Alligator mississippiensis: one gene and its partners. The protein of the gene in region 1 purifies or fractionates together with the protein of each later gene. This does not show direct contact. Links are inferred from orthologs where the notes say so. Each region holds a gene or a part of one and is shown in the gene's direction. Other genes may lie near its edges. The genes, in order: HDAC2, ARID4B, APPL1 and MIER2.

The links.
Region 2: the proteins of HDAC2 (region 1) and ARID4B purify together in Homo sapiens (affinity purification with mass spectrometry; 4 studies listed by BioGRID and IntAct, with this or other methods). This does not show direct contact. The link is inferred for Alligator mississippiensis from reciprocal best matches to the Homo sapiens genes HDAC2 and ARID4B.
Region 3: the proteins of HDAC2 (region 1) and APPL1 purify together in Homo sapiens (co-immunoprecipitation; 3 studies listed by BioGRID and IntAct, with this or other methods). This does not show direct contact. The link is inferred for Alligator mississippiensis from reciprocal best matches to the Homo sapiens genes HDAC2 and APPL1.
Region 4: the proteins of HDAC2 (region 1) and MIER2 purify together in Homo sapiens (affinity purification with mass spectrometry; 3 studies listed by BioGRID and IntAct, counting the BioPlex papers as one, with this or other methods). This does not show direct contact. The link is inferred for Alligator mississippiensis from reciprocal best matches to the Homo sapiens genes HDAC2 and MIER2.

What each region holds. Positions count from the first base shown.
Region 1 is NC_081824.1:99,432,502-99,440,410, reverse strand, and holds the start of HDAC2 (histone deacetylase 2), read left to right. Parts: upstream 1-4,904; 5' UTR 4,905-4,932; coding exon 4,933-4,987; intron 4,988-7,909. UniProt on the Homo sapiens protein: Histone deacetylase that catalyzes the deacetylation of lysine residues on the N-terminal part of the core histones (H2A, H2B, H3 and H4).
Region 2 is NC_081824.1:153,085,642-153,093,420, reverse strand, and holds the start of ARID4B (AT-rich interactive domain-containing protein 4B), read left to right. Parts: upstream 1-4,765; 5' UTR 4,766-4,940; intron 4,941-5,266; 5' UTR 5,267-5,314; coding exon 5,315-5,320; intron 5,321-7,779. Other genes in the region: GGPS1 (geranylgeranyl pyrophosphate synthase), read right to left, coding at 1,890-1,992, 4,290-4,415. UniProt on the Homo sapiens protein: Acts as a transcriptional repressor. May function in the assembly and/or enzymatic activity of the Sin3A corepressor complex or in mediating interactions between the complex and other regulatory complexes.
Region 3 is NC_081835.1:21,255,443-21,262,614, reverse strand, and holds the start of APPL1 (DCC-interacting protein 13-alpha), read left to right. Parts: upstream 1-4,170; 5' UTR 4,171-4,293; coding exon 4,294-4,347; intron 4,348-7,172. UniProt on the Homo sapiens protein: Multifunctional adapter protein that binds to various membrane receptors, nuclear factors and signaling proteins to regulate many processes, such as cell proliferation, immune response, endosomal trafficking and cell metabolism.
Region 4 is NC_081839.1:3,693,417-3,701,309, forward strand, and holds the start of MIER2 (mesoderm induction early response protein 2), read left to right. Parts: upstream 1-4,886; 5' UTR 4,887-7,893. Other genes in the region: SPMAP2 (testicular haploid expressed gene protein), read left to right, coding at 278-519. UniProt on the Homo sapiens protein: Transcriptional repressor.

The sequences.
Region 1 (7,909 bases):
CCTGACTGGCTCAGGCCAGAGGCTTATATGGCTCAAGCCGGGTCCTCTTCCAGTCAAGTAAGTCCCTAATCAGCCCCTCTCACCACTTGGAAGCTCCCTCGATGCTTTTCCTCTTAAAAGGACTGGCACACCACTCATCCTGTCGGAGTGACTAAAAACTTGGCCAAGTTATTACCTATGCACTAACATCCATGACCAGCCAGTCCATGGTGCTAGCCAGGTTGTTTGCAGCCATGGTACAGGCATGAACATAACCCCAAAGCCCAGTACAAAGTATTAAGGGTTCCCCAGCCCCTTTTTATACACCAGTCAAAACAACTTCACATTTACATCGTACTCATCCTAGCTCTAATTGCTAAACCAGCTTTAGGTGATATTGTCCACATCCTATTTCTTGCCCATCAGCATATGCTTCCTACTACACAGATACATCTGGTTGCCAGGTCTTTCTCCTGTCTTTATTCTGGTGTTCTCTATTGGTTTCCATAGACTCATGGAGGAGCAGGGGTGGCAGGGACCTCCACAGGTCATCTAGTCCAGTGGTTCTCAACCCTTTCTGTACCAGGATCCATTTGTAAATGTTGATGAAGTGTCTTAATCCAGTGCCCCTCACTTCCGACCTGCTGCCCCCACCCCAGGCCCTAGTCCCCCAGTGTGGGGTGGGGGAAGGATGTGAGACATGGGGATCCCAAGCAGCCCCTGGCAGCCTGGAACTCTGCCAGCCTACAAGGGAAAAGCCATGTTTCCCATGTTTTTCTCCTTTAAAGGAGAATCCGTTTCTAAAATTTGTTCATGACCCTTTCATATATTCTTGCAACCTACTTTTGGGTCACAACCCACAGGTTGAAAATGCTGATCTAGTCCAATCCCCTGCTTGAGGCAGGATCAGCCCTATCTAAACCATAACCTAAACTCTACAGAAGCCTACCATCTTCTCAATTCCCTATTGGCCAGGACGATGCCTCTAAAACCAAATAGCTACTTTCCCCACACTTCTGTGCAAGCCCCTTATAGCAATACAGCTTCGTATTCACTGCGGGGGGGACACTACTTTGATTGGTGCAGTTGCATGTGATGTATACGTGTGCTGATCCTTGGTTGTGCTGATCCAGGGGTGTCAAGCTCATCCAGCCCAACAGGCCAGCTGAGTGGCTCGGGGCCCAGTCCAACCAGCCTGTCTCGGAGAGGCCAGAGTGGGTGCCTGCTCCGGAGTCACGGTGCACATGGCAGCTGCTCTGAGACGTGTGCTGGAGCGGGCACCACGAGTGGCACAGCCCTGGAGTGGCAGGAGTGGGCAGCTGCCCCTGGGTCCACGCCGAGACCCACGGGAAGCACCCGAGGGTGGGATGCCAGCACAGTTTGAATTATGGGGGAGGTTGGGGGCTGGGGGGCGTTGAGTGTCTTTGTAAGATTTGAAAATCATAACTTGTAAGCATCTCCAGGTACCATGATGGGCAGCCCAATTTTTGCAGCCCCCCTCCCAGAAGTAGCATTGCCAACTCTTGACTAAAGCTGTTCTGGAAGATTACCCCTCCCCACAATGTGACATAGCATCATTACTTTTATTTTCTGAAAATCTCTCAGATTGCTTTCAACAGTCAAGGAGAGATCAGGCCAATACGGGAGGGTTAGTGACCCTACCCAAGGGTACTTCGTACCCCAGATGTACAGCTGGACCCGGCCCCCGGGCTCTCTTCGAGGCTGCATGGTGGCATGTAGGAAGAACTGAAACGCAGGGCGGTGGGTGGCCGCCCCCGGGAGACACGCTGCGTGGGCCCCCCATCATTGCCAGGGGGAGACGAGGCTCAGGGCCTGGTGGGTCCAGCCTGGCCGCCCCCTTCACCTGCCTCTGCCCGCCCCGTCGCCTCCAGCCGCCCCTGGGAGCAGGGCGGGTAGACCCCCCGCGAGGGGACCAAGGGGGACCCGCTCCGCCCTTCCCCAGCGTGCGCGGGAGGGGGCGGAGCCACGTGCCGTTACCGCCCCTCCCTCCAGCCACGTGACGCAGGCCAGAGGCAATAGAGGGCCTCGCGCCTGCGCTTCAACCCCCCCCCCCATTAGGGAGGGGGTGGGGCAGGGCGCGGGCTGTACCACTGCGTGCCGCCCTGGGGGGGAGGGCAGGGAAGGCGGAGCTCTGCGCCGAGTTCACAAGTGACGGCGGCGCTTCGCTCTTTCCCTGACTCTCTCTCGCGTCCCCCTTTCCCCCCTCTCAAGTCTCCTCATGCGTTAACGGGAGTGGGGGAGTGACAAGGAAACGCCTTTCCACGCATCCCCCCCGGCGGGTGCAGAGTGGGCACTCCCCCTCCCCCCCTCCCGCGTGCCGCGCGCTGGATGGTCGGGTCGCTGCGCTGCCCCCGGCCCCGGTGTCGCCGCTTCCTCCCGCTCCCGCCCGTCCGCGCGCCGACGCTTCCGTCCCCCCTCCTCCTCCTCCTCCCGGCCTCGCGGCGGCAGCCCCATGGCGTACAGTCAGGGCGGCGGCAAGAAGAAAGTCTGCTACTACTACGACGGTGAGCGGGGGGGAGGGAGCTGAGCAGTGCCCCCCCCCCGCCCTGCCCCACATAGGCGCGTCCGGGGGGAGGGGCTCGAGCTGCTGCCGCGCTTCACTGCTTCACGGGGGGGTGAAACCGCGGGTGTCTGTGCGTGTCTGCGTGTACGCGGGGGGTGGGCGTGTGTGCACGTTTGTATGTGAGAGTGCAGGCGTGCTAGTCTGCGTGGGGGGTGAGAGAGTATGTGTCCGTGCGTAGTTGTGTGTGTGCAAGGTGGGCGAGGGAGGGAAAGCATCGTGTGTGTGTGCAAGGGGGGTTGGGTGCCAGTGCATCTAGGCATATTCGTGCATGCGTGTCTCACATCTGTGTGAGAAGGATATGTATTTGTGTGCATGTGTGTAAGGTGTGTTTGCATATGGGTATCTATGTATGTGCCTGCGAGTGCTTGGGGGGGGCGGGTAGGGGGTGAGGTATCCAGGTTGTAGCCGTATTGGTGTAGAAGCAAAAGGAATCAAAACTCATGACAAAGGTGATATCTTTTATTAGACCAACTAGATATTTGCAAAAATGGGTGGGGGGCTGAGAGCACGGGTGTCTGTGCACAGTGTGTTTGTGAAGCGTGTCCGAATGCTTGCACATGTGTATTTCTGTGTGTGTCTCCACCAGCCGGGTTTTCACCTAGCTAACAGCAGCAGCTGGTTTGATTGGCCCTAGCCAATCACTTTTATTTTTCCCTCTCCCCATCAAACCTCCCAGCCCTCTGAAGCTCGTTGTCCTGTATGAAGGACCACATTATCAGGGTTTAACTTTGTCTTTGGCACAGCTAATTAGACTCAACTGCTGTTTTAGGTTCATGTAAAGGAATGAGGTTGTCTTGGTGCAGTGAGCCCCCAGTATCCCACCTTAGACCAGACAACTGATTTTTAGCCCCCGACCACTGCAGGAAGAGGTGCGAGGCAGGCCAGAGGCAGGGACACACTGGCAAGCGCCACCGCCCTCCCTTTAGTTGTATCCTAGATGCCTCAAGACAGAGCCCCAGGGTCTTGGGCTCCCAGAGGCAGGTCCTAGCTAGCCATGGGCTAGACCCCTAGGCAGCCCCAGTCACAAGTGTGTGCTCCGCTCTCTACTTTTACTTGTCTCACTATCCTAGAAACACAGTGCCAAAACCCTTCACATATCCTGCCAAGTAGCATCTGCATCTGCTCCGGGTGAAACGCCAAATGGCCTATGAAACTGGCTGGCAGGAGTGGTACTGGCAGGGTGCATGCTCAGGCCAGGGAGATGGGGGTGTCGGTGTGTTCAGAGAGCAACGCCTCCTGATCCATTTGATCAGCAATGCCAAAGCTATGATCTCAAATTTATATCTAATTTCATGTTTGCATCAGTTCCTCCATCTTTGGTTCAAGCCATAGAAAGAGAGGGGGGGACGTTTCCCTACAGCTAAACTTTTATTGGTCAGATCAGCTGCAAATGATTTGCTTATGTCTAATTTTCCACCAGAAACAATCTCAGAGAAGCTGGGAGTGGCTGTTGGGGATGGGCCACTATTCTGGTGTTTGCAGTAGTGCTGGGGACGTTGAGCCTGCTTTGCGATTCTTATTTTTTAGTCAGCTACTGTTTAGGGTTTTAAGAGCCTTGGCTTTAGCGCAAGGTGATGCCAAATGCGTGCTGGTGTGGCAGATATGTCTGCCGCTATTCAGAAATGGCAGATCTGGTGGGGCCTCTTCAGGGTTTCTAACATGCTAAGTGAGGCTGAGTGGTGGTTGCCGCCCCCTTCTCTTTGTTGCTTGCTCTGGTTCTTTGTTCAGCATAAGGGGGGAAAGAGGCCACTGTTAGGGAGAATTTTGTTGAAGCTAGGGTACGACTTCCCTGGAAAAAGAGTAAATGGTGTTCTATCTTGGCAAAAAGATATTTCAGAAGTGCTCTGTATGCTGTATTTGTATATCTGCAGCTAATTTAATAGAATTGTTTGCAAAATATGTTGGGAAAGCAAAGTTTGCTTGATAAAACTAGGTACCCTTTTGCTAGAGCAGTGGTTCTCAAACCTGTTAGCCTCTGGGCACCCCTCAGGAAATACCAGCTCTTAGCTTTCCCTTGTTTTGGGACAATGGAAAAAATAATAGAGGAATTATTTTTGTTGCAAATAACTCAAGTCCAAATGGTTTGGACGCTTATGGATTCCAGTTTTAAATCTCTGGGTTTATCTTGTGAATTGTGTAGGTGTTTGCATATGTAATAGCGGTGTTATTGCATGGAATCCTTAAAATGATCTCATAGTACCCATGGTTAAGAATTATTATGCTCGAGTGGAATATTTCTGGCATTATAGTAGTGTAACAATTGCAAGCACTGTTGCTTGAATCCCTACATAGTAGATAAACTTATCTTGGTGAGACTTTAAAAAAGTGCTAGAGTAAGGAACAATTTTGCACTGGCAGGATGCTGAACTATGATCCCGTTGATCTTTGCTACTTCTGATTTACATGAAAATACACATTTGCTTGGTGAGTCCATGGACTTTTTTTACGTGGCTGTTTTGTCTTGCTTATTTCATATTTAATTGGCTCTGTATGGTCATCTTTCTCTATGATGATTGCTCTTCCTAAATCTTTCTAAACTATAATGTTTTGAAAGATGCAAGTTGCTAAAAAAACAATTGTTGAAAGATTTTTTTGGTTGATTAACTTGTATGTATAGACAGGAATGAATAGAAGTCATAGGCTAGAGTGAGTATAATTTAAAACTGGACAAATGTGTTCCTTCTATAATTGAGCTGTCTTAGAAAAATTGCTTATTTTGCAGTAGGGAACTGAAAAGTATTAGAACATTTCTAATAGCTGGTTTGTTAGCACCAGATCTAATAAAAGACATAAGTGCCCATAAGCTAGGCCTTTTAAATGTCTGGAAACTTGACTTTTTGGGTGTCTGGAAAGTGGAATCTGAAGTCCAGGATTAAGACCTTAGTCTCTTTTATACAGTATGTAAGGTTAAGGTACCTTGGGAGAGCAAGTGAAAAACCCTGCTGCTGAGTAAGATGCCACTTAGGGTTAGTCTGAATGAAATGCTAAGTTCATACGTGTCTGAATGTGTCTTTCTCTCTGAGTTTAAATTACAACCATGGCTCCAAGGTTGCCTCTGTTTACTCAGGAATCAGAGCTTTGAACATGTTCCTGGATAGGTGCTTATAAAAATTCAAGGAACTGAGGGGAGCTCAAGCTGCTCATGATGTGGCTGATGGAAGTGATGATGATGGTGCTGCTGCCCTGCTGTTACAGAATAGCCGACTTGTTAGGGCATTCACCTAGGAAGTTGGAAACCTGCGTTATGTATCCTTCAGCCCAAGTGGGTCAGACATCTCCTGCTACCTAATGGGCTGCCCTAACTACTAGGCTAGAGGGCTTCTTTTGAAGCTGGGCCATTACACAGAAAGCAATGCAATATTCATAGAGCCAGGAGAGAACGCTAGAGGGAATGTCATTTCATAGCAGTGGGTCTCAACTTTTTTTTTTTGTTAGATTCGAGCAACCTTTCCGTAACTTTTGTTTTAATGTGGTGGCACCTTAGTTGAGAACCACAGTTCTGTTGTGCCTCAGTTTACCTCAGTGGTTCTCAACCAGAGTGCTGATGCCACCATAGCCAGGTGGAGCTTCCTGGTATGCCTTGAGTAGAGCCAGGTCAGGGAGGGCTATGACAGGAATGCACACTCCTGCCTGCACTAGGTTTACCCAATACGTCTAAAGCAGGCAGGAGTGTCTGTCTACTCTTGTCCCAGTACTTCCTGGTCCTCCTTCCCCTGCCACTCCTGCTGGAAACAGGTGGCTAAGATGGTTCCAGCAAGGATCAGACCAGGAAGGGCTATAGCAGGACAAGGCACCTCTGCATAGGTTTATCACATAATCCTAATACAGGTGGGGGCACATGCTTGTGCCGCAGCCCATTCTAATCTGGCCATGCCCAAATCATACAAGGCAGTTCCACTTGGCTGAAGTGGTAGCAGTTCCTCTACCACATCATCCCAGTTGAGAACCTCTGCTCTTATCTCCTAATAGGTTAGGCTGTCACCTGAGAGGAAGGAGTCTTGAGTCCTTGGTCTCAGCATTATTTCTCTCTCTCCTTTAGTCCAGTGACTTTTTTAAGTGACATGTATAAAAAGTCATGGAAGAGAGAGGAGGAGAAGGTAGCATTTCCTTCTGGGCTACCCTACCTCCTAGGGCAGAGTCCTGCTCCCTCTTGTTTGCTTTCCTGATGCAGTGAATTTGGTGATCTTTGCTGCTGAGTGGTTCAGTTTTAATTGGTCATATGAAAGAAGCCCACACCCAGCCTAGTATATATCCTGGTGTTTCGGGCCCTGATCTGGGTGGTGGGAGGTGTGGATTTGAATCCCCTCAGACGTGAGGGCCTGTATCCCTGATCTGCTATTTTCTGTTCTCTTTTAACCTCTCGTTTTTTGTATAATAATTTGGTGATCCTGCCCTCTTTTCTCGTGTTGCCACGTTTTTCATGGAAAGTGAAGGTGGCCATTGTGTTTTGTGCTGAATGCAGTTCTGTTAGTGTTTCTGAACCTGCTTGCTCAAGCTTCTTTGAGGACTTAAATGTCAGTCTGTCTAGTTTTTGAGTCTCAATGAGGCATATAAGACCTAGGTGTCTGGCTGCTCAGGGCAGGGCAGTTTTGGTCACAGAAGCACCATTGCAAGTATCTAGTGAATTTTCTGATCAAAAAAAGGGAGGTAGCCCATGATTTCTGATACCTTCATGGTTAGGTGGCCACTGAGAAGGAGGGTGTTTTTTTTTATTGCAGTTTTTGGACCAGATGCACTGAGTCCTGTTTTGGGTATCCTCACTCCAAAAGGAATTAATCTGGCCTCTAGTATTTATTTGTATAATGCCAAATGACAGCAGTTATTTCAGATTTCCTTCTAAAAGATATTGGTCAAAATTGCTTTCTTAGAAATCAAAGCAGTTCTGTATCTTTTGGCTAGTTAATTTAAATGGCCAAATAATGCATAGATCTTAATAACGTTTTTTAGCCGTAGGGAAAGTTTAACTGTTTTGGGAGGAGAGAGGAGATGCCCAGAAGCTTAAGTAACCAAAAATTAATAGTATAAAAATACCCTAAACTATAGCAGATAAATTAGTAACTATCTCTTGGTGCATGGCATGCAAACACAATTAGTTTTTATTTATGAGAATCTTTTATGGCTGCATGGAAGTTTCTGTATAGAAGTAAACTCTTCTTTTTTTAGTTTTATTTTCTATTTTCACTTTGCTTCCCTGGAAATAAGCAGCAGCAGAGTAAAGAATGTACATCAGAAAATCCACAATAAAAGGGGTGCCTTCATAAGTGCTATAGTTTAATGTGGCGTATTTTGAGTTTTAAGACTAAATCTTAGTTGATATCTACTGGTGTGTCTAAAACTCTTCCTGCT
Region 2 (7,779 bases), about 54 Mb from region 1:
ATGTTTGACTTTGGGTTTTTATCATGGAAAAAAAAATCAGAGCCAACTGTGCCTCTTTCGCTCACCAGGACGCAGGTCCAGGCCCTTTACTCCCCAGCCATAGCCTCCCCCCTGCCCTGCCGGCACCCCTCACCCCCCAGCCACAGCCCCCCTATCCCCCAGCTGCTAGGTCTACAGGGCCAGGGACCCAAGTCCCCGCAGCAATGCCTGAGCCCCAGCTGCCACCTGCAGAAATCAGCAGCTGCTATGGCAGAACAGAGTGTGGAGCCCAGGTTCCTCCTCCTCTGTGAGCGGCACAGCTGGAACAGAGCCCATGGGGGGGGGGGGGGGGGGGGAGTGTGGATTGCCCTCTGCAGGCTCAGGGCCTGCCCTGCTGCCCCCCCAACCCCGGGCCTCCATGATCCAGTGGAAACCCAGCAGGATAGAGCAAGCCAGGCAGGGAAGCTTGCTGCTGCAAGCTCTGCACCACTGTGGCGAGGCCCCTCCTGCCCACCCAGCAGCAGAGAGGGTCACAGTTCCATGCCACTGCCCCCACTGCTGCTGAGTAGGCAGGGGGGGCTCTGCCAGGGTGGTGTGGGGCCTTCAGCAGTAAGGAGCTTCCCCACCCAGCCCTGCTCTACCCTGCTGCACTGCGTCCCACCTGCTGGGCTGGAGGCCCCCAGGCACAGGGCAGCAGGATGGGCAGCTCGCACCCACTCCTTCACATACACAGATCTGGGGGCCTGTGTCCCGCATGTCCTTCCCGGGTGTGCATGTAGTGGTGGGGAGTCAGTCAGCCCTACAGTCAGACGAGCCACCCAGGGTTCTGTCCTGCTCCCTGCCCGGGCCCTGTAGCTGTGCATTCGGGCCCCAGGCCTCAAGCCCCACACACTGCCCAGCTGGGCAGTAGCTCCAGCCCCGGTCCTGCCCAACTCCCTCCCTATGGGGGCCTCAATTCCTGCCCCACCTCCACAGACTTTACCTTCCTGAGCTGCTTTCCAGGCTGCCTGGTGACCATGCGCGTGTGTGAGTGTGCACATGGCGCCCCGTGCCTGCCCTACTCCTGTTCCTTCCAGCCCCTTACAGGCCACAACTTTGCTAGCCTGCAGCAAGCACTTTTCAAAAAAAGTGGAAAATCTGCATTTTTTTCCATTTTTACATGGCAGATGGAAAACCCAATCCCTAGTGATTAGTCACCATTGTGTTTGTCCGCATTTTCTTGTTTTATACTGTTCTGCACAGTGCCAAACCCACCAGAACTCCTTACCTGTATAAACAAAGCTATGTACAATGGTATTTATTTGTGCTGTTTTCCCCCCAGAGATTGGCTTTATTCTACATGAACTATTACCATATTTCAGAGGAATACTTCCTATGAATATGCTATCACCTGGCCTGAAGCCGACACACAAGCCTTGGCTGACCCTCTGGAAATATTCGGTGAGCTAGGTACAGTTGAATTTGACCACAAAAAATATTCTTGTGCATGACTAAGCAACTCTAGTTGAAGAGAGCAATAGAGAGATCAAAAGTTCCAGCAGAAGATACAGGTCAAGCTCTGAACAGACTATTTCTGTTCAAGAGCTAGACCAGGTCTTCAGTGCTTGCACTTCCTTTCACCAGAGATGTAGTAGATAGCAATAGTCTCTTTTGAATGCAGTATTGAGGGAGAGGAAGAACATTTGCATTAAGTGGACAGATCAGAAAAACAAGGTACCAGCCCAAGAAATGCTATGCACAGTAAGGTTATGACACAGAAAATGCCGTGGCTTTCAATTAAAGAAAATCTACTCAGAACTCAATGCAACTCGAGACTGGATAGACATGTAAAATTATGTGAATTGATATGCATTTAAGTCTATGATAACAAATTTGTTAAATAGAACAGAACAGCAACAAAAAAGACTTGCCTGGTAGTTGAAGTAAGTACTTGTAAGGCTCTAAAAGAAGTCTTTTAGATGTTTGTTCCGCCTGCTCCATTTCGGTGTTAAAAAAGAAAAACAGTGCTTCACCCTGTTAAAAGGTTAAGAGTTATTGTTACAAATTCAGATTAGAGAAATTAAAGAGAGAGACAAAAAAAAAAAAAAAAAAATCAAAGTGAGAGTCAAATCATTAGCACCTGTTTAGAAAGAAGGAGAAAAAATAAGCAGGCTTCAGATACTCAGACCACATGTAAATGTTCCTTTAAAGGCAGCATTTTCAATTATCACCAGCTTTGCAATACAAAAGACTAATGGCTTTGGCATTATTAATAAAGACATAAGGAAGTCTCAAACTTTTAAAAACTGAAACCTACTTTTGAAAAGTCAAAGTTATTTTAAATTAAGGCTTATTTTTTGAGTCTACTTTAGCTTCTGTGACTTTGAAGTACCAACATTATAAATATCTCAGATAACATTAAAAGACAGCAACATGTGTGTCAAGCACCTATTTTTCATCTGGGAATTTTTTCCTGAAGTTTTTCTACTGGACAAAAGATCAGTGTCCCTTCCCACCCCCTCCTTTTTAAGAGACATTTTTTAAATAAAAAGGGAAATTATAGGGGCTTCTTGAGCTTTTTGCTTCAGTTTTTATTCTTTTCCATTTCTCTCTTTGTGCCATGTCCTGTCCTTTTAGGTTTAGCAATTTTGCTTTTTTCCCCCCTTTCTCTTCTATATCATACTCTTGGATGCGTGTGTCAGGTTCTCTTGCTGTCATTTCAGACTCAGCTTCCCTGGATAGTTCATTCTAGGACTTGTTTCCCTCAGTTCATGCCCTCCTCTCCATTTCCAGGCTGTAAGCATTTCTGTGATTTTCAGACTCCTTTCTAGAATTCATTTTCCCTCTTCTTACCTCTAACCTTTGTTGCTGCACTGCAGATAGAGCAGGTCAAAACTCACCACTTGCTTCTGTCATGGCAAGACTGGACCTGCAGTGGTGGCACGAAGTTCCGTGCCACTCCAACAGCAGTTCTTACCTGCTGGCAAGCACCTTGCAAGAAGCCATTTCCTCTGCCCTAGTAAATGCTGTCTAGTTGCTACCTTACCAGTAAAGCAGGATTATTTCTAGAGTACATTAAGAAACATCAGTACCATATATGTTTTGAGAACAGGCACATCCAGGAGACCAGTTAAAAGAAGTCTACATTGTAGAGTAGATTTAAATTCATCTTTAAGTGATTTGATAATTGAAAACTGTTTATTGCAACTGTTATTAAACTACTGTAAGTTAATATTAAAACAAGCATTAAACAACTGGAAGTTAGTTAATATCAAAAGTAGTGTTAACTCCTTAAAACCCTCCCCGCAAAAAACACAACACAAAACATATGACAGCAAGTGGGAATGGGGGAGAGAGAGAAAGAGAGAGCGTGACACCAGGGCTTGGCAAGGTTTTCCAGGCACAAAGGAGGTCTCATGCTTAGGCTAAGCTGTGGAAGAGCACGGGAGAAGTGCCTGCCTGTCCAGTTACATATAACACAGGCAATGTCAGGAGTGCCAAAGCCCCCACTCTGCAGAATGGATCCAGTAGTTGGCGACTTGCAGGCCATGGACTGCCGAACCTGGGTGCATACGGTCTTGCGCTGCCAAAATGGAATTTCGTGGGACTTTGAGAAATAAGGTACCGATCAAAGACAAGGAAGGCTACCGCAATCTCCCCCCAAAATAAGGATACAAATAGATTTAAAAAAAATAAAGTCAGAACAAAGATAACATTGGAAAAGGGACCACCGTGCTGGGACACCCTTTCGCAGCCGTTAGGCCACCTGAACCCCACAAAGAGGGCAAGCTAACGCAAGTGAAACCGGGAGGTTTCACCTGGTGGTTCAGAGCCCGAGAAGCCCCCTGACAACATCCCCCTCTAGAAGTAGGTGCCTCTTCCTTCTCGGGGCCAAGTTGGCAAGCGCTCCCCACAGCAAGCGACACCACAAGGCTGCCAGTCCTTACTCAAGGAGGGGGGATGGGGGGGTGGGTTGAAGGGCGCTCCAGCTTGCTAGCATTTGGCAAAGAGGTCTGGCCAGAGCTCCGGCCAGAGCTCCATAAACATTTCCCCAGCCTGGCCCCATTGCCACCCCCCTTTCCCCAGCCTGGCCCCTCACTCCCAACCCGCCACCCCCACGATGGGGATCCGCTGATGCTGGAACTCCACTGGGGGTCACGACCCAGTTTGGGAACTGCTGCTTGACGGCGACGCGGGCCTGACGAGTGAGATAGCAGGGGCGGGAGAGCCGCCATCTATGTCCCAGCCGGCCACCAGGCACCAACCAACACCTACCGCGCGCCCGGCCACTCCGTGCAGAACGAGACTAGCCCCCAAGTACCGCCCCGCACCCGGCGCCGCCGGACTTCAACGCGAGGAGAGGTGCCGAACCCCGGCTCCGCGGGGGGCGGAGGAGTAGGGAAGGGAAACCAGGCTCCACCCCCTTCCGCCTTCACCGCAGCAGCTGCCGCCACCATCGCCCGTTGGGGGAAAATGCGCCACCAGAGCCGCAGCGCGCAGGCGCAGGCGCGGGGCCCGCCCCCACTCCGAGCGGCGGGGCCTCGCGCGGTGCACCCTGGGCGGTGTAGTCCGTCCGCCCCGGCCCCGGCGCTCGGAGCGGCGGGGGAAGAACCGCAGCTCCCGCGAGCCTCCGCGGCACCGAGTCGGTGTTTCCATAGAACTGGGGGAAAACTGACGTCAACCTTTCCGAAGCGGCGACCAATGGCGGCGGAGGGGAGGCGGGCCCTGGCGGAGCGCGGGCCAATTGGCGGGGCGAGAGGGCGGGGCCCGCTCCGCCCGTCAGGCAGGCAGTTGGGGAGAGGGGGGAGGGGCGCTCGAGGCTTGCAGCGGAGCGTCGCGGAGTAGGCAGCGTCGTTGCGTCCGGCCGGGAGCATCGGCCCGTGTGTCGCAGAGAGCCAGCGGGGCCGGAGCCTAGGGGCGGCTGCGCTCCCTGTGCTTCCGCCCGGGCCAGGGGAGCTGCGGGCGGCCGGCGCCGAACAAAGGTAACCGGGGGGCCGGGAGCGGCCGGGGGTGGGGGAGGGGCGGGGGTTGTTTTTCTTCTCATCACCGGACTGCGGCGGGAGTTGTCCCCCCTCCCCTTTCCCGCTGCCCCTTGCGGGGAGCAATGCTGGGGCCGCCCCCCGTGCCCGGCGGGGGAGCGGGGCTCGGCTCGGCGGCGGCGGGTTGTTGTTGTGGCAAGTTTCTCCTCTGACAGAAATGGCGTCAGCGGGCAAGGGGGGCGCCGGGCGCGCGGGTGGGCCCCCTCCCCGCGCAGCAGCTGCCCGGTGCGGTGTGGCGGCGGCTTGAGCGCTTTTGTTTTGCGTTGCAGGTCCGACCTGGGCCGCGCTCGGGGGTTTTACCGCAGCCTGAGCTCATCATGAAGGTAACGCGGGGGCCGGGGGGAGGTGGGGGAGGCGGCATCCGCGTCCCCTGGTGTCCGCCCGGGCCGGGGACAATGCGGGTCCTGGCGGGAGGGGAGCGAGGACATGGCGGCCTGGGTTGCGCTGCGGAGGGAGGCGGTGGCGGCCGCAGCATCGCAGGCCCCGCTGTGGGGGGGGGCGGTGGATGAATGCCCCGCGTCCCGCTGTATGAGCCGCCCCGATTGGGGGCGGGGGGCGCGGGATACTCCGCAGTGGGGCCGGGCTGGGAGGCGCAGCAGCCGGATCATTTTTCAGGCAGCTTTTTTAGTTTCCTTTTCAGACCATTTGCCAGGCACTTTTTCTCCTTCTCCTGGCATTTGTTAGACCCTCGGTCCTCAGGCTGGCCAGGCTTCAAGGGCTGCTTAACCTCTGTCCGGATCTGGTTTTTGGTAATGAATCTGGCTTCTGAGTCCTAGTTTAACAAGTGCGATTTAGCAGGGTTTCCCCTTCTTCCTCCCCTGAGCCTCGGTGATGGCAGGGCCTCCTTTGAAAGGCTGTTATTGGCCTTGCTGTGTGGCTTAGAACATGCAATCAGGATCATGCCCCTATTGTGCTGCAATGGATCTGGCTTCCCAGCTTTCTAAAAAGCTGTCGAACGCACTTGCTGCATAACTGCAGGAAAAAGAGCCGTGGCAGACCGCTTGGCATTCACGCGCAACATATCAGCTTTGTTATTCAGCCCTGAGCGCAGTCGCCTGCTTCTAAAGAGTCATGTCCTTTCTGGGTTCTGGACAGCTCTTGTCTGTGCAGAAGCAAAATGAGTGCGGTGACATTGTGTTTGTGAAGTGCTGGAAATGGTAGACGGCATATACAGCTTCAATAACTAGGTTTAGTTAGTGATGCTAAGCACAGCAGTTAGTCTTGTCTGATTAGTTAAAGGTTCAGCACATTTCTCCTGGTGACTAATGAAAAAAGAACCTTCAAATGTACACTTGGAACTGTGCTTTCCTATGTTGTTTGGGTTTTTTTTGTGTGTGTATATTTTTTTTAACTAAGCTGAACTGATAAGTTCTGAGGTCTTGCACCAAAATGCTTATTGGATAAATTGGTTGCTTTAAGTAAGAAAAGCAATAGTCAGACTTCTGCAGTGTGATATGCAAGTTCCCAAACTGTGGTCTGTGGAGTGTTGGATCAGAACACAATGCTTGTTCGAATTGGGTTACTGAAATGGATTGAGACAAATGGAGAATTAAATTTAGAGCAGGAGGAGACAATATAGTGAGGTCTTTTTCTCAGAAGAAAAATAATTTATTTTAAAGATAGCTATATATACACACCTACTTTTTTAATGTTACTTTTTCCACATAAATGCTGCAGTTACCTTAGAGATTGGTGCTCAGATAGAGTGGTTATTGGAGTCATGTAAATGTGTAGATCTGCAATTGCTGGAGTTAAGGAAATCTAATTCTGAGTTGGAGGGTAAAGTGTGCTCTATAGTAGAGTGAGAAACCTCTCTTCTACCTCAGCTGAATACAGAGCAGATTATTACAACTTAAATATCTCTCTGTTTTATACATCCATAAAGTCTGTTTATAGATCCATATTTTTTTTTAAAACCTGCATGTTTCCTTACCCTTTAGTAAGATTTATACTACTATTGTTAAAGGAGGTTTCATTTTTTTTTTATCAAGATGGATGCTGCTAATGTTATTGAATACTGAATTTGACTCATTTGAAAATACACTCTGATTTGTTTCTGCTGATTCCTAAACTTCTAGATGTTTGGGATGAACAAAAAAACGGAGCCTAGTTTCTCTGGAAAATTTAAATTCAGACTTAAATTTGTGATTTAATCTGGGAGCTGCTAGTTGCACTGAAATTTTTTACATTTCCAGCATGAAAATGTTAAAAGCTTAAATCTTAAAAAGGATTTAAGATTTTACATCATCCACTGAATGATGCAAAATTATAAACAGCCATACAAGACACAGCTTTTAAGTTTGTAAGATTGCAGTGGGAGGGAAGTAAAAGAAGAGAATTTTCAGGTAAACAATTTTGTCTGTCTGCCCATTTCACTGTAACTGGATGGCTGATAAAAGAGAAGATATGACTTTTACATGACTTTTTTTTGTTTGTAAACAACCAGAAGTGTGTGATTCTGGGCACCTTATTATTTAAAGTATCAAGCACCAAGAGCTTATAATGAGTCCTATAATGTGGTACCTATTGCAGGGCTGGGGGCTTAAGTTGTCATTTTATACCTTAGTAGTTCTTCCTTTGGGTGCAGGGATAGTGTGTTGTACCGATTGGTGGATTAGAGGGAGGATGTGAGGTGTTCCAGGTTTTGTTCTGAGCTGTGCCATTGATTATTTATGTGACTCTTTTGAACATGTCCATTACATTTGCTGTACCTCGTTTTTCTCATCTGTGAAAAGAAGAAGGTTGGATTTTTACACTTCTGTGTAAAGGACTCTGAGAACTA
Region 3 (7,172 bases), on another chromosome or scaffold:
AATACACAGCTTTTCTTTAGTACTGGCTACTGCTGGCCTTTTCAAAGGTCCATATATATATATTCCTGCTCTATTTTATTTGACACACATACTTTTTTTGCATTTTGACTGGAATTACAATTTTGATTAATATTTTGTTTAATAAGGTGGGCATAGAACTCCTAAAACATTCACGATTAAAAAACAAATCTCTTCACCTGTAGGAATCATTCTAGTCAAAATCGATCCGAGTCGGGGTGTTCTATTTATAGAAGCAAAAACATTTAGGATAGGGACAGAAATGACACAAAAACCAGCACAAGAGAAGATCAGTGCATATAAACTGCTTTCAAAATAGCCAAAAATGGTTTAAGGTAAATCTGGATGGAGGTAGTATCAGATTTAACTGATTTGGATTAAATCAGTTTATTGAAATTCTGTCCTAGAATCTCCTCCAGATTCAAGTTAATTTATAGTCCCTGAGCATCCCAGGATACTTTGTATCTCCCCCATAAACCCCTCCTTGCAGAGTGGGCAGGCTAGTCTTATCCCAAACTGTCTGCTCCACCTGAGCAGGAAGGCATGCTCTAGCAGCCCCAGTCTGTGGCCCGAGCCACTTCAGCTAAGTGTAAACAGCTTAAACTAACCTGTGAAGAATTAACTGATTCAGCCTTGGGCTTTTTGACTATCTATACGTAGCCTTTAAGAGATGGGGAATTTTGTAATAGGCACATTGCATTGTTATGCCCCTTCACAACAGTTTTATGGGAGTTCCTACCAGTATACCAATCTCCAGCAGCAATCTGGTTCATCATAAGAAGGTGGGAGGTCTATTTTGAAAGTTTATGCTAGTCTTCCTCTAAACAGAAGGAATGCTTTTCTAAAATGGTATTTCTTTATACAGGTAAATTGGATACTAGCTGATTTGTAACTTGATAATGTATAGTACGAAAAAAAGTTATGGTAGGAAGGAACTCATCCTCCCTAACAGTCAAGGTGGTTGGAGAAAATAACAGAAGATATGGAGAGGAGGAATCTTAGGAAAGGGGTGAGCCTTGTAATGCCAATACAAGAAAAATGCTTTCATAGCAAAGTTATGCAAATGTTGCTACCATTGTACTGACAATAGTAATCATAGAAGTTTTGGGAAAAAGTATATTGTAGATAAGGCAAATATGTTTTGTAGCGTTATCATTAACAGGTGACTAATAGGACTTGGGTAAAAAACAAGTTAAAAAAGGGATTTCAAATTCTGTTGCGATATACAAAACAGCACTTTACTTTACAACCACAGAACCATGGTTTGATATACCAAGTTCCTAAGTTTTTGTTTTTTGTAATTTCTTTGTCAGCAAAAAATGTTTGCAGCAAACTCCCATAGCAGAATGCAAACAAGGTTTTTGAACACAGGTGTCAAATGCTGATGAAAATGATGCTGGGGTGATGGAGTTCAGTAAGATTTAAATATGTAAGCCTGAATGGGGATGATCTGTTTCTTACAAGTCTGCAATCACTACATGGTGACAACAGTTTGTTTTTCTGGTTTGGAAAACTTTTCGTGTTCCAGGTCAAATTTAGCCAGATCAGTTCCAAATCCTTTTGATTGAGCAAAACTCAATTGTCCAATCACCGTATGTGGCACTGGAACCAGCAAGTATCCTCCACCCCAGACTTTTCAGCCTGGGGCTTCAGATAATTCCAAATCCATCGGCAGGCATCCTATGTGCAGGCCCAAGTAAGCATGTAGCCAAGATCCTCCCATTGGAAGCTGGCCAGAGGAAGCTAATTACAAGACTCATAGGGTGTCCTGTCCACAGTTCATTTGGACAGAGCTACACCTTCCACTACACAATGCAATTAAAATCCATTTTGGCTTGGGTACCAGACCAGTACAGTGACTACACTTGATCTCAGCTGACAAGAGGGTGACAATGTAAGCAAGGTTCAAAACCACCTAAGACTAAATGTAGAATCCTGATGTCAGGAACCTACAACGCTTGGTGGGGGCTGGGGGGCAGGGTTGTGGGATGTCATACACATTTTCTTGGGGTTGTTTTATTGATAGGACATGTGTAACTTCTACATATATGTAAAATCAAGCTGTACTTAGCGCTGTCATTATGTCTGCCTAAACTGTAGTATTAAGATACAAATGTGATGTTGACATATTCCTATATTTTAGCCAAGAATATTTAGTAAGGCAGTGATTAACTGGAAGGACACTTCTCACTGTAGGGAAATTAAGAGACAATGGGTGCATCTACATGTTCATTAATGTACCATAGTTAGTATGTATTAAGTTTAGTACTTGTATTATCAGGTACTAAATTAACAGACAGTAACCAGTATTAATGTGCAGTAGCACACACCTTCTTAGTGATGCTACTGCGTAGTAGCCTAATAATACTGCGCAGTAGCATATTACCATTAATATGCTACTGTGCAGTCAGTGTCCCATGCAGATACACCCAGTATTGCTAGGATACTGAAATAGTAATCTTTATGTCTGAAATGATGCAACTATTCCCCTGGTTTTAATTAGATCAGGAAAGATGTTTAGTTTGGTAAACATGTACATCCTGGGGTAGGGAAATGGGGGGCTGGGTAGGAAGTAGTAGTTATATGCACGGAGTGAGTTTCCTAAGAATCCAATGGGTGATGCATGTAAAAGACCATATAAGAAACCACATTCTAACTTTACATTAACAACGAGTTTTTGTCTAAAGCTTTCTGGACATAAGGACTGCTTGAAGGTGTTTAAAAAAAAAAAACCCAAAAGGTGCTTTACTTCAAAATCCGCATGCTCCTGCACCGAGCCCAGCATATGCCCAGAAAAGGCAGCACATTGGTTGGACCCAGCTCACCCGACATCTCTATAGTTCAGGCACTTTAGTGGGGCCTTTCTGGCAGCTGGAAAGCATAGCTGTTTGCTGCAGCTTTTATTACAAAGACAGGACATAACTTCTCTGATCAGCTGCCTAGGACCACTGAGCTCCAGCTGATCAAAGAGAGCCCTTTGAAGGAAAAGGCAGTAAAGACCTGAGTATTTCACCCTTAATTCAGCAATTTACTGCATCTTCAACTGGATGTGAACCGCCTATATAGGAATAATCTGAGTTCTACTGTTTTACTATAACTTTGCTAATTGGGGGGGCGGCGGGTGTATCTAAAATAGTAATCCTAACGCAACCGTTAGTGTGGATGCAGTTATACCAGTCAAAAGGTGTGATTGCAGCACACTGGAAAGGATCCAGCTCCCACCAAAATCAAAGCGTACAGAACTACTGCGCTTACCACATTGCGGTACAGCTGGGAGACATGGATGTTTTGACTGGAGAAGCTCTACCAGAGGCAGTTTCATGCCCAGCTCCTACCAAGGCGCAGATGGGCAACACGTTCCCAAGCAGCTCCTGGAGCACAGAGAAGAAAGGGCGACTACCCACGACACTGCTTTGAGGGCCTCCTAAAGGCATACTTGATCACACCCTCACGCACCAAACTCCATTTTGAGGTCTGGGCATAAGCCAGCAGCAATGGAGCACCCAGAGAAGGCAAGATGCAGGCCTGGACGAAGAGGCACCGCCACCAGGGCAGAGACACCAACAGCTGCATTGCTGGGCGACGGCTGTGTGATTGCACGGGCACTGTGTAGGTGTGCAAGGGGTGGCGGTGACAGTGGTGGGCACAGGTGTGCAGGTGATGGGTGTCTGGGTGACCGCTACGTTGGTGAACTGGCAGCTGTGCAGATGGGAGGTGGATGCGGCGGGCACCAGCCCCGCGGATGTGCCCACAATGGCAGCGTGGGTGACAGTTGCGTAACAGGTCCGTGGGTCCGCCAGGCGCTGCCTGTGGGACGAGGGCCACATGCGTGGGCGGGTGATGGCTGTCAGCACAAACGCCTCGGAGCACGGTCCATGTTGCAACAGGGGTATTTAATGGCCGGTGCCACCCCGAGGGAAGGGCACCGCCGGGCGGGGAGGGGTTCACGGCAGCGCGCGGCCCCCTCCCCTCAGCACCCAGCGCGGGGCGCACGCAGCGGACCCAACTCCCGCCCACGGCCCGCCCCGTCCACCCGCCCGGGCCGCGCGATTGGCGGCTCCGCCAGCCAACGAGGAGCGAGGCGAGTCGATAGAGCACCCAATAGCTGCTCGACGTCGCTGCGCGACGTTGGGGCGGGGGTGGGATTTCCGGCGGGAGCTCGGGCCCGGGGCTGTGGCCCCGCGGAGGCGGCGCCGGGAGGAGCCTGTCCGCGGGGGGAGGGGCCGCGGCGGCCGCCTGGGCGCACACACCGCCCCGCCCCGTCCCGCCGCCGCCATGCCCGGCATCGACAAGCTGCCCATCGAGGAGACGCTGGAGGACAGCCCCCAGGTGAGGGGGCAGCGCGGGGCCGGGGTCGGGGTCGGGGTCGGGCGGGGCTGTGCAGCGCGGCCCGGCCCGGCCTGCAGGTGCGGTGAGGGGCGGCCGCGCAGGCCCCGCTGCTGAGGGGAAGGGAAGCGGGGGTGCCCGGCGCCACCTGCTGCGAGGCCGCGCGTTGCCGCCGCCGCCGCTCTCCGGGCGGGGCCGGGGGGCTCCTCGCCTGGCGTCGGCCCCCTCCCCAAGATTGACCTGGGGGGAGGGCGGATTTCGTGCTTGCCAAGCACGTGTCAGGGCAGCGACCCGACTGGCCGGCCCGGCGCTGAGGGCGGCGCCCGGTCACACCCATTGCTTCACTTTTTTTGGGTGGGTGGCCGTGTTTGCCATTAGCGCTTCCCTCTGTCATGGGAGTTGAGCCGGGCCTGTCCCCCCCCCCAGCCCATGTCCACTTACCACTTGCCTTTTGGGCAAGTCCAACCTTGTCCCTTTTTTTTTAGCTGCCAGTCTCCAGCCACTCATTTTATTTCGACCTTCGTGTCATACAGCAAATGTCCCAAGCTCTTGGTAGCCCAGGCATGCAGGTGTTAGTTTGGGGCCAGGGGGGTTGGTCTCTGTTGTGTCCCCTGTAGGAGGACGTGGAGGCTCTTGTTGCTTAGGGAACTCGAATGTTGCCATCCAGATCCTGCCACTATTAAAATCCTTACCTAAAAAGCTGGCAAACAAGACTTTTTTTTAAAGTAATTTCTTTAGGGTTTTTCCTTTCCTATCTGTAAACTACTGACATCAGCACATCACTATGCTGTGCTGATAACATAATATAGTGCAGCGATAACATAGGCTGACAGAGTCCCTATGTTATTTGGGAACAAAAGCAGAGAGAAGTGTGGGCTACGGAGCAGAAGTTTTCAAAGGAACTACCATCGCTAGAGCTTCGCTTAAACGGCACTTCAGTACGCTGTTGCTCATGGGGGAGCTAGAAGGAGAAATGAAGACTGAGGAGTGCTGACCACCACCGTGCTGAGAACGTTTCGTTTTAATGTGCACTGCTTAAGATTAGACCCAAGTCATATTTGAAATACAGATCTGTAAATACTCTGCAGCCTAAGATGACTAGCTTTGATCTCTTCTTCTCTTTGCTGCTTTTATGTTTTCTTATTATGTATCGTGTATATTCTTATTCTACTCAACAGCAGAATATTTTCGAAAGTATTGTTGAACAAATGTCCTATGACTGTTCTCCATACAGGGAATGAAAGCTATGGCTTCATTTTAATGTGGAGTCCTCAGTGGTACAGTCCTTGCTTGATATGCAGGAGACCCAGGTTCAGTTCCTGGGTGCTTCTACACCTACAGCCACGGAGGCACCATATGTCCAGCCTTTGGATTGTGGCCTGAAGGGGAGATGGAAGGTCTGGGCAGTCTCCACTTCCAAACTCCTATTTGGGCATGTGCTAAAAGTCTTGGTGACCTGTTGCTTGCCAAACCATTTTAATACACATAGACAGTCCCAAACTGTACCCATATGCAGAAGGCAAGGCAAAGTGGCATCTTAGAGACTGCCTTCTGCTTGACTTCATACTAGCATCACTCTAACTTGTGTGTATGGATAGGGTAGAAAATGCCATCTTCCTAGTAAGTTTATTCCATGCATTCTCTGATGCTGCCCACCTCTAAAAACCTGTTATCATTTTGATTCTATTATTTCAACATTAAACACACAATACCGTGAAGCAGAATTTAGGTTTTTATTTCCTCCCACTATTATTATTATTATTATTATTACTACTACTACTACTACTTTGATGACTACTATTACTATTCGGTTGTTATGTCAAGAATGGCATTCTTCATTCAGCAGTGGGCAATCTCTGATGATTTACAGCCTAACAGACACATACTAATGTACATAACTTTCTGATGGAAAATCCATAGTCTGTTACTGCTCTCATTTTAAATGACGGAAAACATTTTGTTCTCTTAAACTGAGGTGGGGGGAATTCCTTCCTAATTTAGGACATCAGATATCAGCCTGAAGGGTGATATTTGATGTTCTAAATTTCAGTCTTTCCTTTTATTCAGTTGCAGAATTAGTCATCTCTCAACACGATAGAAAAAACCCATTAACTTCCGTTCAAGATGGGATCCACTCATTGGTATTATGGAGAATATCAAAACCACCATGAGATTGTTACTCAGTTTAGTAAAATGGTATGCTGTGTGTTATGATTGTTTAGACATGTAACATTAGCTCTTTATTTGATGCTCTCCACAAACTTATGGTCTGCCTTTGAAAACTGTTGGACTATAGAATAACCAAAAAGACTGGGAATAAAGGCCCTGTTCAGTCAAATACCTTAATCTAGTAACATTTTTCATGTTTAAGAGGAAAAAAAAGGAGTAATTCCCACCTCCATCCAAAGCCAGATGCAGTAGTCTCTTACATTTTAAAACTAAAACATTACAAACATTAGTACTGCAATTTGAACACAGTTTTATTTAGTAGTTATTATTTCTGTATAATCTCATTTTGTTTTGTCTGTGATTGGAAAGGAAATCAGACTCTCAATACATTTAAGTTTTTACCTCCTTTGCTTTCATAATAACAGTCTCATAATGAGCAAAGTGCGATCAAGTCGTAATATTTTCTCTTCAGCCTTATAACTATAAATTCTAGCTGTTATTTATAGACTGAAACATCTTACAACCTGATTCATTTTTCAAGCTGTACATGAGTGCTACAATAGCTTTTTCCTTATTACTTGCTCACATTTGAGTATGCTGTCTTGTTAAAGGTTGTGTATTGGGTATTAGCATGAAACATGCATACACAGTTCCTTTAC
Region 4 (7,893 bases), on another chromosome or scaffold:
AGAACCCAGCACCGGTGTGGGGGTCGGAAGACCTGAATACTAGAATCAAATTCTAGAGTCGAATCCTAGCAAGATGTTTCACCTTCCCCGTGCTTGTTTCTCCCAAATACCCATCTCTCCAGGGCATTGCGAAGTGTAATGATTGAGAGCTGTGAGATCCTACCCAAAAATATATTCCCATGGAAGAAAGCAAGCCTTGGGACCTTTCGCAATACTGAATCTCAGAGTCCTTTTAACAAGCCGTTTCTTTCTCTACCCCATGATTTGTTCCTTGTAGAGCCAAAAATGGAACATCCAAGCTACCGCCACGAAAAGCTAGTCCCATGGCCTGTGTCTGCAGGAGCCAAGAATGCCATGGCATCTGCAAGGGTCTCTAAGCTTGCCCACCCAAGAGTCCGAAAACATGTCTTCGAGGGCTACAACCCTTACAAGGTGTCCGGCGCTGCCCAGCACGCACAAGCCAGTCCCCGGCTTTTGGAGCTTAGTACTCCTCGGAGGCTGAGAACGAAGCATCTCTAAATCATCACGTGCTGTTCTCTGCAAATGCTGTTGCTTGCAAATTAAATGTTCTTTAATGTAGATCTGTGACCTGTGGCTGGGTCGTCTGCGTGGAACCCATTAGTGTGGCTGGGGTTTGGTTGAAGGATAGGAGGGTAGACGATGATCCTGATGGCAGACCGGCAGACTGGGTCAGTCTGTTGAAAAGCTTCCCATCCTCTCCTCCTATGAGCAAGAGATGGGCCAACGATTGCCATTGCTGTCATTAAAACTGTCATAAGCATTGCTTCGGAGTCAGCAAAACATGCATATCTCTGAGCAGCCGTATGCTGGGGTAAAATCAGACAAATGCTGCAACCAAGTATGAACATGAATAATCATTATGAATTTGCTCTAGTCGTAGCTACCCCTCATGCCCTTGCTGGTAAATTTGAGTTTGCGGGGATGAGAAGAAGAGATGTCAATGGGTGAACATGGGCTTATACGTGTGCTCGCAGCCCATCCTGATGCGCGGCCCACTCACGTGCTCTTTGCGTGTGTCCGTGTCAGTCGGTCACGGGACAAAAGTGAAGGTCTGTGGAGAAATGATTGAATAAATTGGTATGAACCATGTGTCAAGTCATTGGGAATAGCAAACAAATTAGCCAGTCCATTCACAGGTACATCGCTAACAGGAAAAGGTGGACTTGTTCATCCAGCCGTATTCCCGATCCAAATTCCAGACCCCTCCCGCTTTTGCTGCCATAAAAGCCCAGGCACATAATGTGGTCAGGAGGGAGAGACAGTAGTAGTTCTTGCAGATATAGAAGAATATAAGAAATATTTCTTATGAAATATAAGAAATATGTCTGAAAGCAAGACGGTTGGGGTTCCTCTTGTATCGAATAAACACTGTCTGTGAGCTGTCGAAGCCGTTCGAGTAGGACCAGACGGACCTGCTGTGCCACGGGATAACGGTCTGCTGAAGCGGGCTGGTTCCTTGCTCAAGGGCGGTCGCCATCACTTCAGAAACACTTGATAGCACTTTGCTTCCCAAGCTCAAATGCATAAGTGAAAACGAAGGCGAAGCAAATTGCCGGGCCGCGGGGTAGGAAATCTTCCCGTAATGACTGAATGCTAATAAAGCGCATCTCAACGGCTGAATCTTTATTGTTAGTGGCAAACCTGGACCTACCCTCTGGAGAAATTAAGCTGTACAGAACCGCTTCACTAGCCATCATCAAATAGAGAGGTCTGGTAGGAAATACAGCTCCGAGTCCAAATACGGCTCCACTGCTGCTCCCCAGCAGCGCGGGCTCCTCATTAGCGCGCCCTGTACACGGAGAAACAATTGGCTCTCTGACTGCGATGGTGAGTCACAGAGGGATACAAGGGTCCCCTTGCAGGGACCATTGGTTAGGAAAAGCCTTGGAGACAGGTGGGATTAAACAAGAGCTGATTGCAAGGAGGGTTTTGCTGTAGAAAATCCACATAACAGCTTCTATAACCACATCCTTTGCAGGTTACTGGCATGGCCACCACAAGAAGCCATCAACCAGCACGTCCCCTTCTGCCACCCAGAACTGCTCTGCAGCCTCTGTACTCAACTTTTGGTGGACTCAAACACAATCATTTCCCCAGACCTTTAAAAAACTGGATTCAGGCTTCTCAGTGAAGATGCCTTTGACAACGTTACTACTTGCCTCCATGAGAAAGGTGCATCTACACGTCATTAAATCAGTTTAGAAACCAACTGAGTTAAATCAGGACAACCTGTTTGCGTGGCAACCCCTTCAATCTGTTCAAGAGGGGGTTGTATGGATTGGGCTGAAACTGGGGAGGTATAGGACCGAGTCAGACTCTTCACCTAGAATAAGTGGCTATCAGAAGAGGGTGGGAGCGGTTTAACTAAACCACTTTACAAATTAACTTAGCTAAACGGGAGCACTTTCTTGTGCAGACAAGACCTTAACTTGTACGAGGTGCTGAGTCAAAACGGAGTTTGAGCAGAGGCGGTGACACCTTCTAACACGCAGTTACATCTGTACCATGCCTGCAAAATGCTAAATTCCTCATTCACCGCATCAGGATGAATTTACTTGCATAGGTGCACACAAAAATTGCAGACAAGCTGCCCTTTTTTCTCTCCGGGTCTATGAACAGGAGTGCTGCAATATCTAAAAAAATAATATTTCTCATGCCCATTACCCAATACCTTACTATCTATCCCCTTAATAGTCTCGCTGACGCTATGAGATGGGCAGATTTGTTTCAGAGTTTGAATAAAAACATTAGCCCAAATGTTACTCAAGTCCACAGGCCAAAATGGGTGGAGTTGCACCAGAGGTGAATTTGGAGACTTAAAGGATGACTGTAGCTCCCAGAACGATCCAGATTTTCAAACCCGGTGCCAGATTCAGCTCTTAATCGGGGGTTTCCCTGTGGCCTTCCATTAGCTGCCACAGAAAGGCCAATTCCACAGGACAGAAGTCACCAGACTTCCCTTGTGACACGAACAAAAGGCAAGTGGAAAATCCCACCCCATTGTGAAGCAGGTGGGATTTTCAGAGGCCTCCAACCCGGCACACGCTCCGACAACACGAATGACATCTCCTAAGCGTGGCACTATCCCGTGACGTGCTGAGAGCTCCCGGTTTCTCTTTGCAATCCATGAAGGGGCATTTTGCAAGAATAGGCCTCAAATTCAGATGATGTTGTTCAGGCCTTTCCAGCCAGAAATGATTTGCACCAGCCGAGCGTCTCTCTTGCAATCTAGGTGCAGCTGGGCCAACAGACGGCACCCGAGGATCTGCTCAGACCTCTCATTTTGTATGAACTTGCCCCTCTGCCATAAACCCTCGATGCCGTAAGCTGGGCCCAGGTTCCCGCCAGCTATCCAGTTGGCTCTTCTCTACCCCAAAGCTTCAGCCCTTGCAAGCTGTCCCTTCATGCCTACGTGATGGCCCTTCCCTCCTGTATGGACGACTTGTCGTTCGTGGAGTCGGGCTCAGAGATTCATAAAGCTCAAGGAACCAGCAGCGCAGGCGTCCGACGCCCAGTTTAACCCAGGCTGTTACGTTTCCCCCCGGCCAAGCGCATTCACCTGGGGCAGAAGACCGGGCACGGATGCACCTTATAGACTAAATCAGAGGTGCCTAAGTCAGCGCAGGGCTGCCAAAGCTGATACGCCTCTGATTTAGTTAGTCTGTAAGGTGCATCTCTGCCTTGCCTTCATACTGGCAGGGCTAACGACCCCTCTCTGCTCACCAACTCGAGCGTGCAGGAAGGGCTGCCACCCACCGCCGCCTCCGGCTTGCCTGGACCCCTGGCCATGGGTCATTCCCTGCCCCCGGACCTGCAAACTGCCCCTTCAACCTGCCCCCCCGTCCCCATCCCTCCCAGACCTGCCCCCTGCCCCTCAGCCGGACCCCCCCCCACTGCAGACCCCTGCCTTGTCCTCGCAAGCCCCCCCTTCCCCATTCCTGCACACCCCCAGGCACCCCCTCCCCTTCCCTGCCCCCTCACCCCATAAGCCCCCCACCCCTTCCCCATTCCCGCAGACCCCCTGGCACCCCCAAACCCCCTCCTCTTCCACCTCCCCTATTCCCACAGACCCCCGGCACCCCCCACCCTTTCGCTGCCCCACCAGCCCCCCCACCCTTCCCCATTCCCGCACACCCCCTGGCACCCCCAAACCCCCCACCCTTTCCCTGCCCCCCCAAGCCCCCCACCCCTTCCCCATTCCTGCAGAACTCCTCAGCACCCCTAACCCCCTCCCCTGCCCCCCAAGCCCCCCACCCCCAGGCACCCCATTCCTTTGCGCCCCCCAAACCCCCTGCCCCCCATCCCAGGCGCCCCTCCCCTGCCCCCACCCCCAGACACCCCAAGCCCCCTCCCCCTCAAGCCCCCCCAGCCCCCGGCCCCGCCCCTCCTCCCGGCGCCGCAGCCAATGAGCGGCCCGCGCCGCATCCGGGGCTCCCGCCCCCCCCCCCCGGCCCCGCTCGCTCACACTCGGCCATGGCGGAGGTGAGTGCTGGGGGGGGCCGGGCCGGGCCTGCCCCGGCCTCTGCCTGGGGGGGCGGCGAGCAGGGGCCGGGGGCTCCCGGGGGGGGCAGCATTGGTTGGGGGCAAACAGGGGCTGGGGTCTCGGGGGAGGGGGGGCAGCATTGGTTGGGGGGCTGGGGTCTCGGGGGAGGGGGGCATTGGTTGGGGGGCAGCAGGGGCTGGGGTCTCCTGAGGGGGCAGCAGGGGCTGGGGTCTCCTGAGGGGGCAGCAGGGGCTGGAGGGAACCGGGGTGTGGGGTCTTTGGGGGGGGGGGGGGGGCACGGGTCTCCGAGGGCAGCAGGATGTGGGGGGGGGGGCAGGAAGGGGGCGTTGGGGGCTGGGTCCCCGGCATCGCACGGCCGCCGCTTTGCCCCGTCCGGCCGAGGAGACGTCCCGCTTGCGCGGCGGGGCGCGCTCCGCCCGTCCCCCCGCCAGCCCCCGGGGTCCGGCCGGCGGTGCCAGGCGGGGGACATGGCGGGACGTGTCCACGGTGAGACCCTCGCTGTGCCGTGGGCTTGGGGAAACGAGCGCCGCAGTCCCGGCCGTCGTCTCCACCGCCGCGAGACATCATTCGCCGCAACAAGCGGCAGCCGGTTCCCACCGCGGCTCGGCCTTCGCACCGGCCCCGGTAAAGCCGCGGGGACGCTGCGCCCGTAGCTGAGCTGAAACGTCGGCCCGGGACTTCGTCGCAGCAGCGTCAAGGAGTTCCTCCGAGCGCGAGGCGTCGAGACGTCCCTCTCCCCCAGCAGCCGTGTGCGTACAGTGATGAGGCGCGCAGGAGGCGCCGGGGACCGTTTGACATCCTGCTAACCGGACTTCGCGGTGAACCCGTCGCAGCTGCGCGGCCCAAGATGGGTCAGAGGGTCTTTTGCCTCGTTCGTTTTGATGAGCTCGGTGCTCAAAAGTTGCCAGGCGGACGTTACCGAGCGAGTGAGCTTCGTATACTCGCTTTCTTTGCCCGGGCCGCAGATCCTGGTCGACACGTGGGGAATACCAGCCCTCTTTTCCCCCAAACTTTCAGGAATGTGGACAAGGCGATGGAGCAAGGAGGAGCGCTTCTGCAATGTGCCGGCGTTGAGAGAGACCCTTTGCGCAGCCATGAGCTGCCTGGAAGTGTCCTGAGAAATCATCACAGTGATTAGAGGAATAAATGGGAAGGGAAACCTCTCTTCGTCCCTCTCCGTCGCTCTCCCCTACTTCCCTGCCAGGGTAGCGGCCGCCGGAGGTGTTATCTCTGCCGGTGCTCTGGACAGACACATAATCCCCTTCCGCTTGAAAACAGCCCCGTGGTCGCTGTGTCTTTTAACAGAGTCCCTGAAAATTTTCGACCTTGCAATCAGGGACAGGGACCCCTGAGTCTTGTTAAGATGGCAAACACAAAAGCGTAAGCGATTAATTAGTCGGCGGTTGCGTTCCTCGATTCTGCCGAAGAAGCGGCGATTTGGGGCAAGTCGGAAGCGGCTCGGATGCCAGCCAGGTTGGTGGGCAAGAGAGCGGCTTTCAGCATCATCACGGGGGGGGCTTTCAAAACCCAACACGACCGCTGTGAGTCGGGCAGGCAGTCGGAGCATACAGCGTGGCCAGGGGCAGGAGCAGCTGCATCTGGGATAAACGCCATCCTTGATCTGGAGGTGGCCTTTCATACCTCGGGGCCATGCTGTTGGCTTCCTTCTGCCAAGCTGACGGTACAATTTTAAGTGTCGGACCACAGCTTTCGCCTTCAAGAGAAATCATCTTCCGTTGGATGGCGACGACTGCAGTCCGCAACATTTCTTCCCTTCTGGAGCCGTTGCAGCCTGGTCTCGCTTCCTAGCCCGTCGCTTTGCCCTGCCTGGCTTGGCCTCACCACGGCCACCCATTAATGTATGGGATGTGTCATCGTGGTGCTTCACGTGCAACATGGTCGAAGCGGAGGTCTGAGAGCAGGTTGCTGGCTCTGCCTGGTCCTTCTGGTCCCTTCTCTGTCCAAATATGCCGTCACCTTTAGATTGGTCTTCATCGCTGCCGTCTTCATGGTGATTTTCAACCTGGGCCAGCTTCCCTTTCCCCTTGATGTCATGCTGCTTCTCAGTTTTGAGTCTTTCCCCATCCTCGCTGATCTGAAGGTGTCCATGATGGGTTTGCATCATTAATATAAGCTCATTTTACTCTTTATTTCACTGCATGGTCTTCACTGACATGTTTCCCAATCAATTTGTCCACACCTGACGATTATACTCAGTCCTTAGTTACAACAGCAGCCTTCCTCTTTGAGTCGTGTTGGACACGTTTCCTTGCTGGCCTCCCAACAGCGCAGTGAGGGAGGTACAGTCCACGGGCAAGTTGTTGCCTCAGGGAACGGGAGACAGATCGGGCAAGTCGCTCGCGGCTGCAGAACGTGAGGTTGGACCCTGCCGTCCTCATGCAGCCAGGGCTGCTTACTCCGCAGACCTTGATTTATAGAGTATTTTTATACTTTGTTGCATCCCGTTGGTCCCCAACGAAGGGACAGTTCCTCTTCTCTTGGGTATAAGCCATCTCCTCCGTGCTAAAGCACTGAAACGGGGTACCTAGAGAGGTGGTGGACTCTCCATCCTTGGAGGTTTTGAAGACCCAGCTAGACAAAGCCTTGGCTGGGATAGTCTAGTTGGGGCTGGTCCTGCTTGGAGCAGGGGGTTGGACCAGATGTGACCTCCCGATGTCCCTTCAACCCTCATTTTCTGTGATTGTATGCTAAAATCTAGGTATGACTCCAAAATAAAGCCTCTCCTAAGCCTTGCCATCTCTTTTCTTCTTTTATCCTGCCATAAACCCCTCCTTTCTAGCACATGCAGCTTCTGGGCTGGCTCCACAAGCCGACAGCGTGGTCTCTAGTGGGGCTGCATCGTTGCTTTATAATCAGACACTGGGGGATGGCGAATTGCAATACACCTTGCCTGCTCCACTGGAGACTCCAGACATTTTTTTGTTGTCGCTGTTCCTCATAGATGAAGGAAAGAAACCCAAGGATGCTTCAAACTCGTATGTCGGTACCTCCTGCTGTAGCCTAGGCCATCAGTCGTAAAAATAACAGTGATTTTTATTTCTGCAGTCTTCGGGGAACCTGGCAGGCACGTTTTTAAGACTGTTGTTCGAAGGCAGGAGTCCGAGTCCTGGTCAGAAAGTCCCGTGAGACTGCGAACATCCATTTTGCTTTATCCATGGTGGGATTTTTGTCTCCTTTTGATTTTTAACCTTTACTTTCTTATCTTACTCTGGCATGAGTTACTGGATGGTGGTAAGTCCCATTCTGTGACGAGGAGTCAGCGCAGCTCGGTTCTTCAAAAGATCCGGGTCTTAATATGTGCTAATTAAAAGAGAACGCTGCCACTTTTGGAGCCGCCGCTGCAATTA